2 linked regions of the Cricetulus griseus genome follow. The protein of the gene in region 2 binds, or shares a complex with, the protein of the main gene of each other region. Links are inferred from orthologs where the notes say so. Each region holds a gene or a part of one and is shown on either strand. Other genes may lie near its edges.

Region 1 (4,053 bases), on a different chromosome or scaffold from region 2:
CTCAAGATGTTAATTCAACAGTTTTATTTATTTATTTAGTTAGTTAGTTAGTTAGTTAGTTGGTTAGTTAGAGACAGGTTCTCACTGTGTTGCTCTGGCTGGGCCTGAACTGACAAGTAGACCAAGCTGGCCTCAAACTCTTTGTCTCTCAAAGGGTAGGATTAAAGGAGTATGCCATCATACCCAGTTATTTTGATTTATTTGTGACAAGATCTGATGTAGCCCCATCTGGCCTCCAACTAGTTATATAGAAGAAAATGACCTTGAATTTCTGATCCTCTTGCTTCCATCTCCCAAGGATTATAGGTGTGTACCATCCTGTCAGGTTCGATTCCCTTATTTTATAGTTGAAAACAAACAAAAACAAAATAGACTTTGAGTGAGGGAAAGCAAGTCATTTGGGGAGGCAGTTCCTTAAAACAGAGCACAATTATTGCTTCCTCGGTGCAGAGTAATGTGTTTTCTACTATGGTCAAATTTAACATTCCTTACTATAGAGGAAGGGACAAACTGATTCCATTTGACTTTCAAAAAGGAATCAGGTTGGCCCGGTGTTGGTGGCAGCGCAGGCCTTTAATCGCAACCTTTGGGAGGCAGGATCTCTGTGAGTTCAAGACCATCCTGGTCTACTGAGTTCCAGGACAGGCTCCAAAGCTACACAGACAAACCCTGTCTCGAAAAACACACAATAATGGGGTGGTTGGGGGAATCAGGCAGAAGTCCTAGTATTCTAGGTCAGCCTGGCCTACATAAGCAAGACAGTCTTAAAACAAATAATATATTATATGATATTTAAAAAACAGTGTTTTGGGGGGCTGGAGAGATGGCACAGAGCTTAAGAACACTAGCTGGACTTACAGAGATCCTGAGTTCAATCCCAGCAACCACATGATGGCTCACAACCATTTGTAATGAGATCCGGTGCCCCTTCCTTGTCTGCAGGGATACATGCAGACAGAACACTGTATACATAATAAATAAACAAATAATACATAAATAATTTTAAATAGTGTTCCGTAGACAACAATTCCTTATCTCTGCCATGTGTCAATTCCCAACGTATCCCAATTTCAAGACACCAAAGAACCTGCTACACAATTAAGCCCAGGAACCTTTCTTTCTAGCTCATGTTTCCACCCGAGTCCATAGACGAGATCGGAAGCAGAAAGCGGCTACGGGGCGGAGCAAACCAGTAGCCCGTTGTCCAGTCGACCGGAAGAGAAAGGTGCAGCCAGAATAAGGTCCCCTCCACTTCACTGCCGCCGGACAGTTGCTATACGCTCGTAGTAGGGGTTGTCCCGATGGTACTGCAGCACTGACAAATGGTGAGATGCCGAGCGGAAGCCGCTGCCCGGACTGCGGCTCCTCTGAGCTCGTAGAAGATTCGCATTATTCTCAGAGCCAGCTGGTGTGCTCCGACTGCGGCTGTGTGGTCACAGAAGGGGTCCTTACTACCACCTTCAACGACGAGGGCAACCTCAGAGGTACTGGGACCTGTCCTCGGGCCCTGGGGATAGCCTGGGGCGGTGGGATGCTTAAACCCAGATTCCTAGCTCCCCCCTTTTCTTGGTCATGCGCACAGTTAAATGTGGGAGAAGCTCGTTTAAAGTAAATTAGCTGGAGGAGGGTGCTAGTCATCTATTTTCTCCAATACCTCATATGGTGTCTGGCATTTAGTGGGTATACTGAATGGTGAATGAATGAAACGGAAAAGGTTTCACCCATCGCGTTAGACCTGGTCAGTGTCGAAGGCTTGTCGCTAAATTATTTGGGAATACAGCACGAACCATTATCCCATAGTAGTTTTTAGCATTAATTGGCAAAATGCTCCTCCCCTCCTTCCACTCTGTTGTTTAGTCCACCGGTTCTCTTTGGCCCTTTTGGGAGATCGAGTAACCCTTTCGCCAGAGTCGCCTAAGACTATCCTGCATATCAGCTATTTACATTCTAATTCATAACACTAGCAAAATTACAGTTATGAGGTAGCAGCGGAACTAATTTTTATGGCTGGGGGGGGTTTTACAGCATTAGAAGATTGAGAATCTCTGTGCTAGTCCTTGACTAGTGCAGCCCTCAAAATGGAATGTAACAGAGAACTAACTGGAAAAGTGGAATCACCAGCGCTGCTTCATATAGTTCTATACTATCTGTCTTCAGTGCCATTTGACTACTTAAAAAGCCTGGTGAGGCTGGGCGTTGGTGGCGCACGCCTTTAATCCCAGCACTCGGGACGCTGAGGCAGGTGGATCTCTGAGTTCGAGGACAGCCTGGTCTACAGAGTGAGTTCTAGGACAGCCTCCAAAGCCACATAGAAACCCTGTCTTAAAAAAAAAAAAAAAAAAGGCCTGGTGAACCTTTACTTTTGCATGGATGGGTATCTTCTCTGAGATGGGAAGTAGACAAACAATAATTTGCAATCTCCCTGGTCTTATGTGGTCAGGGGGCAAGGAGATGATTAATGAACAGAGGCTAAATGTGCTATTTGTTGTTTATTATTTTACAGAAGTGACCTATTCTCGAAGCACCGGGGAAAATGAACAAGTTAGTCGCAGCCAGCAACGAGGTGAGAATCAACCTCTTGCCCTGAAATTTCAGCTTTGCTTTATTTATGTGACTCTTTAATGTTTTGTTTTAATATTTGTATGCGTGTTGGAATTGCATGCATGTATGTATGTATGTATGTATGTATGTATGTATGTATGTGCACCAGTGGAACTGGAGTTATAGGTGGTTGTGAGCTGCCATTGGGTGCTGGGAACTGAACCTCAGGTCCCCTGCTAGAGCAGCAAGAGCTTTTAACTGCTGAGCCATCCCTCCAGCCCAGAGAATCAACTTTTTTTTTTTTAAAGATTTTATTTATTTATTATGTATACAACATTCTGCTTCCATGTATATCTGCACACCAGAAGAGGGCACCAGATCTCATAACGGATGGTTGTGAGCCACCATGTGGTTGCTGGGAATTGAACTCAGGACCTCGGGAAGAGCAGTCAGTGCTCTTAACCTCTGAGCCATCTCTCCAGCTCCGAGAATCAACTTTTTATGATACAGTGGCTTTAAAGAAAATTGTCTTGATATCCTAGTCTATCTGTGTGTGTCCTTGTTGTCAGCATCACCAATAAAAGATATAGGCTAGAAGAAAACAGTTACTGATGGGGTGCATGCCTACAGTCCCAGAACTCAGGAGGTGAAGCAGGATGATAGACTTTGAGGTCAACCCAGTTTTCACAGTGTGTGTGTCTTAAAACCAAAAGGAATAGAGGTAGGTGAAGGTTTGGGTCTGCACGGGGCTTAAAGTAGCCTCAAGAAACCTGAGTAAAAGCTTGGTTTTGGAGCTAGGGGGTAGGTTAGTGACAGAGTATGCACCTATCATGTGTAAGGCTTCGGGTTCAATCCCTCGTACCAAAAAATAAATAAACTTTGCCCTGGCTATAAGTTGCAATAGCTCATATAAAGGTAGTGGATTGAATGTGACCTTCCCACAAATTTTCTGTACCTTTGGAAGGACTACAGTTCTAAGGGGCTAAGACTACAACTCATCGATAAAGAGTTTGCCCAGCATGCTTGAGGATCTGGGGTCTAGCTGCAGCACTACAAAACACATCAAGTGTCCCATTAGGACAGAAGGGCATATTATTTGCACATATGCTATATATGGCAAGTTTAACAGAACTAAACTAAGCCCTAGACGAACTTGCTAGTAGGTATACATAACTTCCTTTGACCTCTCTGCTTGTGATGTGTTTCCCTAGATCTCCGTCGAGTGAGAGACCTGTGTCGAATTCTGAAGTTGCCCCCCACGTTCGAGGATACAGCAATCTCCTACTATCAAAGGGCCTATCAGCTGCCTGGCATCCGAGATGCTAGGCTACAGAAGAAGGAGGTGTTAGTTGGATGCTGTGTTCTAATCACCTGCCGGCAGCACAACTGGCCCCTGACCATGGGAACCATCTGCACCCTGTTGTATGCCGATCTGGATGTGTTTTCAGGCACCTACATGCAGCTAGTGAAGCTTCTGGGGCTGGATGTGCCAGCTCTGTGCCTGGAAGAACT
Region 2 (4,253 bases):
TGGAAGCAGATTAAGAATACTCACATTAAGAAAAAATAAAAAAATCAAAGAAAAAATACACTAATGGGCAAAATTTATATAATACAATAATTTTGATAGGCAATATGTCCACATTATAGTATACAAAAGCATATATAGTGAATGTCTTCCTATGAAGTGTTTCATAGCTTCTCTTTCAATAGGCAGCCATGTGCAATTTTTCAAGTAAGAATTTTACATTGTTTTACTTAATTTAAAATTTCTCCGCAGAGATGGCTCAATGGTTAAACTCATTTCCTGCTCTTCTAGTGGGCCCTTTTGGGTTCCCAGCAGCTACATCAGGAGTCTGAGAAACACCTGTAACTCTGGCTTCCCTGGGCAGCCACACATAACATACCCCCTCCAAACTCAAACTTTTTTCTTTCTAGTAGGGTTTGGTAGCACATGCGTGACTGTAATCTCAGCACTCAGCATGTGGAGGCAGGAGGACCAAGAACTGAAGGTAAGTCTTGGCTATAAGAGACCCTGTCTCAAAAACGTAAAACAGTTTCTATGCTCTGGTGATACGTTGCTGGCACTGCTCTCATACTATTTCATTTTTATTTTTATTTTATTTTATTGTCTTTGAGATAATGTCTTGCTAGATAGTCTAGTTGGCCAGGAAATTGGCCTGGATAGAACTGACTTTCCTGTAAGCGTTGGAGCTTGGATACAAAGGGATCCTGACAGTCGGGAGTCAAGGACTATCATACCACAAAGTCAATATAAGCGTAGCAGCTTAGCTCTGCTCGAGGGAAAGGTCTCTCCAGTGCAATCCTAGTGCTGGGATAGTAGGCATGCACCATCAGGCTCTGCATTCTTGCACAATTTGATTTCTCGAGAACTCCTTAATATTTCATAAAAGCCAGGAGGTGGTGGCACACACCTTTATTCTCAGCACTTGGGAGGCAGAGGCAGGCGGATCTCTGTGAGTTCAAGGCCAGCCTGGTTGGTCTACAAAGCTACACAGAGAAGCCCTATCTCGAAAAACCAAAAAAAAGAAAAAAAAACAAAACAAATAAAAGAGTCGATAAAAATTCAGTTAAGTGGGCTGTGGGTGAAGTTCCCTGGTACCATGCATGCTGGAGTATACTATGGGTCCTGGGTTCAAATTCCAGCACCGCGCATGGGGGTGGGGGACGTTTTACAAGTTTGAGCCGGAGGATCGAGTTGTTTCCGCACTCTCTTTGCAACAACACCCGAGATCTTACAGAAGAAAGAATATCTGTCTTCGAGTCAAAAAATCGGCTTCACAGACAACCGATGCTACGGAGCGTGGCAGTTGCTATAGTTCCCGGCGCCCGCAGTGTGACGCCAGTCAGTGGCGCCGTGTGATTACGTCATGGTTTCCGGCGCCTTTTTGCGAGCCGGGACGCGGGGAGGAGAAACTTAGCTATTAGTGTGGCAGGGTCATGAAGAGGAGGCGGTGGCGGGAGAGCGGAGGAGGCGGAGGGGCCGCGAACTTGCGGTAGCCAGCGCTTGGCTGGTGATTGTGGCAGGGCGAGGGTCCCAGCCTTCGGGCAGCGGCCGGGGCTCTGGGCTGAGCGCGGCCGTGGAGCCGCCGCTGCCGGTCCCCTGGCTCCGCCATGTTCCGCAGGGCACGCCTTAGCGTGAAGCCGAATGTCAGGCCTGGTGGAGGCGCCAGGGGCTCCGCCGCTCCCAATCCCCAGCGTGGACCGGAGGCTCCCAGGCCTCCCGAGCCTGCCACCGAGCCCGCTCCGAAGCCAGCGGAGCCTACAGATGTGCCTGCGGTGGATTCCGGAGGAGCGGAGCCCCAGGAAAAGGCGCCTGGGAGCAGGTAAGGTCTTGTAGAACGAGCATGATGTCGAACTGTTGGAATTTATATCACGGAGTACCTCGCCTCCAGCAAGCCTTAGGTTTGAGCTGGATGAAACCACTCCTAGCTGCAGTTTAATTCCCCGATCAGAGGAAGCGACTACTGATTCTGTCACTGTTCTCGAGGAGACCGTGTTTTACATGGATGGGAACCCTGGTTTCACAATTCTGAAGTCAAGAATAGGCACACTGGCACTTCGAAATTTAAGTAATTCTCCTGGAGTACTTCACACGGGGTTTTCATTTGTGAATATTTATTTTAAAAGGAGAGCACCAGTGTTGTTGAATTTTCCCCCCTCCTTCCACGCGGTAATCCGATTGAACCCAGGAACCCAGCACCTCACGCGTGTTAGGCAAACGCCCCGCCACTGAGCCACACTTGCAGCGTTTGTCAAAAGGGGAAGAGACTCAGGTTGCTTATTTTGTTATGAGTGTGCCCTGCTTTTTAGTTACTATGTTCCGTGAATTACGACGCCTCACTTTAGCTTCAAATACCACGTTTGAATTTAGGACTACTGCTGTAACAACTTAAAGTAGGTTGTCCTCAGAGAATATTTACTCCTGCTAGATGTAGTTAATAGTACTTCCTTTGGGGCAGTATTGTAAGATCAGATGTGATTGTATAAAATGTTTTGCCAGATGTAGTGTCACATGCATTTAGTCCTAGCAGTAATCGAGAGGCAGAGGCAGATGGATCTCTGTGAGTTCTAGGCCAGACTGGTCTACATAGTGAGTTCTAGAATAGTCAGGGCTATGTAGTGAGATGGTGTCAGAAAAACCAAATAAACAAAGAAAGGTGATGGTACAAATTAAAGATGTGACAGGTTAATATGATGATTGCAGTTTTTATAATACACAGAGGAAGAAGCCAATAAACTACTAATCACATTGAGTGACAGGGAGATGGTACAAATTATGTTTTCATAGCAACATTTCTTCTGTTGATCTGAGTTGGTGCTATGTGTTATTTTGATATTTCAATGATTCACTATAATTTCCAAGTCTCTTACTTGAATTTGTCTGGAAATTTCTACTTAGAATGAAAATACCAGTATTGGTCACTTATCAAAAGGGTTTGGAGATTTTTTTTTTTTGGTTTTTCGAGACAGGGTTTCTCTGTATAGCTTTGGAGCCAATCCTGGCACTCACTCTGGAGACCAGGCTGGCCTCAAACTCACAGAGATCCTCCTGTCTCTGCCTCCTGAGTGCTGGGATTAAAGGCGTACGCCACTAATGCCTGGCTGAGTTTGGAGATTTTTGTTAACTATGTAGGAATGCATTATGATTGATATTTTGTAAATTGCCCTTAAGCCACAGTCCTGAGACATCTAGATTATTTACACACACACACACACACACACACACACACACACACACACACACACACACACACACACAGAGACACACACACACACACTCGCACTTGTGTTTTGCTTGTTTGTTTTGTTTATTTATTTATTTATTTATTTATTTATTTATTTATAGACAGGATTTTACTATGTAGCTTTGACTTGCCTGGAACAAAGAAATCCAACTGCTTCTGCCTCCTGAATGATGGGATTAAAAGCATGTGCCACCATGCCTAGCAACTTCTTTCCTTCCTTCCTTCCTTCCTTCCTTCCTTCCTTCCTTCCTTCCTTCCTTCCTTCCTTCCTCTCTTCCTCCTTCTGTCAGTCCCTGCCTCCTCCCTCCCTGCCTCCTCCCTCCCTCCCTTCCTCCCTCCTTCCTTCCTTCCTTCCTTTCTTGTAGCTCAGGTTGGCCTAGAACTTATTGTTCATGAGAAGATGCCCTTAAACTTCTAATCCTCCTGCTTTACCTGCTGAGATGACAGATGTGTGCAACTGTGCCCTGGCTTATGTGGTGCTGGGGATGGAAGCCAGGACTCTTCAGGATGACCAAGCACTCTACCAGCTTAGCTGCATCCCAAGTCCATTTTTCTTATTTGATGAGACCATTTTGTTTTCATTTTTATTTGTTGTTGTTGTTTTTTTTTCTAGTTGTAGAAACCAACAGAGTATGCATTTAACATATAAAGTGCTGGTGACTGATATGTTATATTGTTTTAAGGGCTATAGTTTTTAGATAGAGAGTGCTAGAGACTGAACCCCAGAGCTTTGTGCATATTAGACAAGCAATCTACCATTAAGTTTTATCTATCTTCAGCCTTAAAAAAGAGTTTAAATTAAAAGTCTTTTTGAGAGACTATTCCAAGGTAGCTTTAATTTTATATAGAACTAATGATAAAATATGATAAAAGATTTTTATAGCCTTGATTTATATCCCCCTTTAAAATTTATCATTTATCTATTCTTTCTATCTATCTATCTATCTATCTATCTATCTATCTATCTATCTAAATGTGCATTGGTGTTTTGCCTGTGTGCATGTCTGTCTGTGAG

Evidence for each region.
Region 1: Bdp1 (region 2) and Brf2 share a complex: the UniProt entries of both Homo sapiens proteins name them as parts of the TFIIIB complex. The link is inferred for Cricetulus griseus from reciprocal best matches to the Homo sapiens genes BDP1 and BRF2.

Annotation. Positions count from the first base shown.
Region 1 is NW_023276807.1:56,707,672-56,711,724, forward strand, and holds the start of Brf2 (transcription factor IIIB 50 kDa subunit), read left to right. Parts: upstream 1-1,222; 5' UTR 1,223-1,330; coding exon 1,331-1,484; intron 1,485-2,503; coding exon 2,504-2,563; intron 2,564-3,752; coding exon 3,753-4,053. UniProt on the Homo sapiens protein: General activator of RNA polymerase III transcription. Factor exclusively required for RNA polymerase III transcription of genes with promoter elements upstream of the initiation sites.
Region 2 is NC_048595.1:318,849,055-318,853,307, reverse strand, and holds the start of Bdp1 (transcription factor TFIIIB component B'' homolog), read left to right. Parts: upstream 1-1,406; 5' UTR 1,407-1,604; coding exon 1,605-1,816; intron 1,817-4,253. Other genes in the region: Serf1a (small EDRK-rich factor 1), read right to left, coding at 732-836. UniProt on the Homo sapiens protein: General activator of RNA polymerase III transcription. Requires for transcription from all three types of polymerase III promoters. Requires for transcription of genes with internal promoter elements and with promoter elements upstream of the initiation site.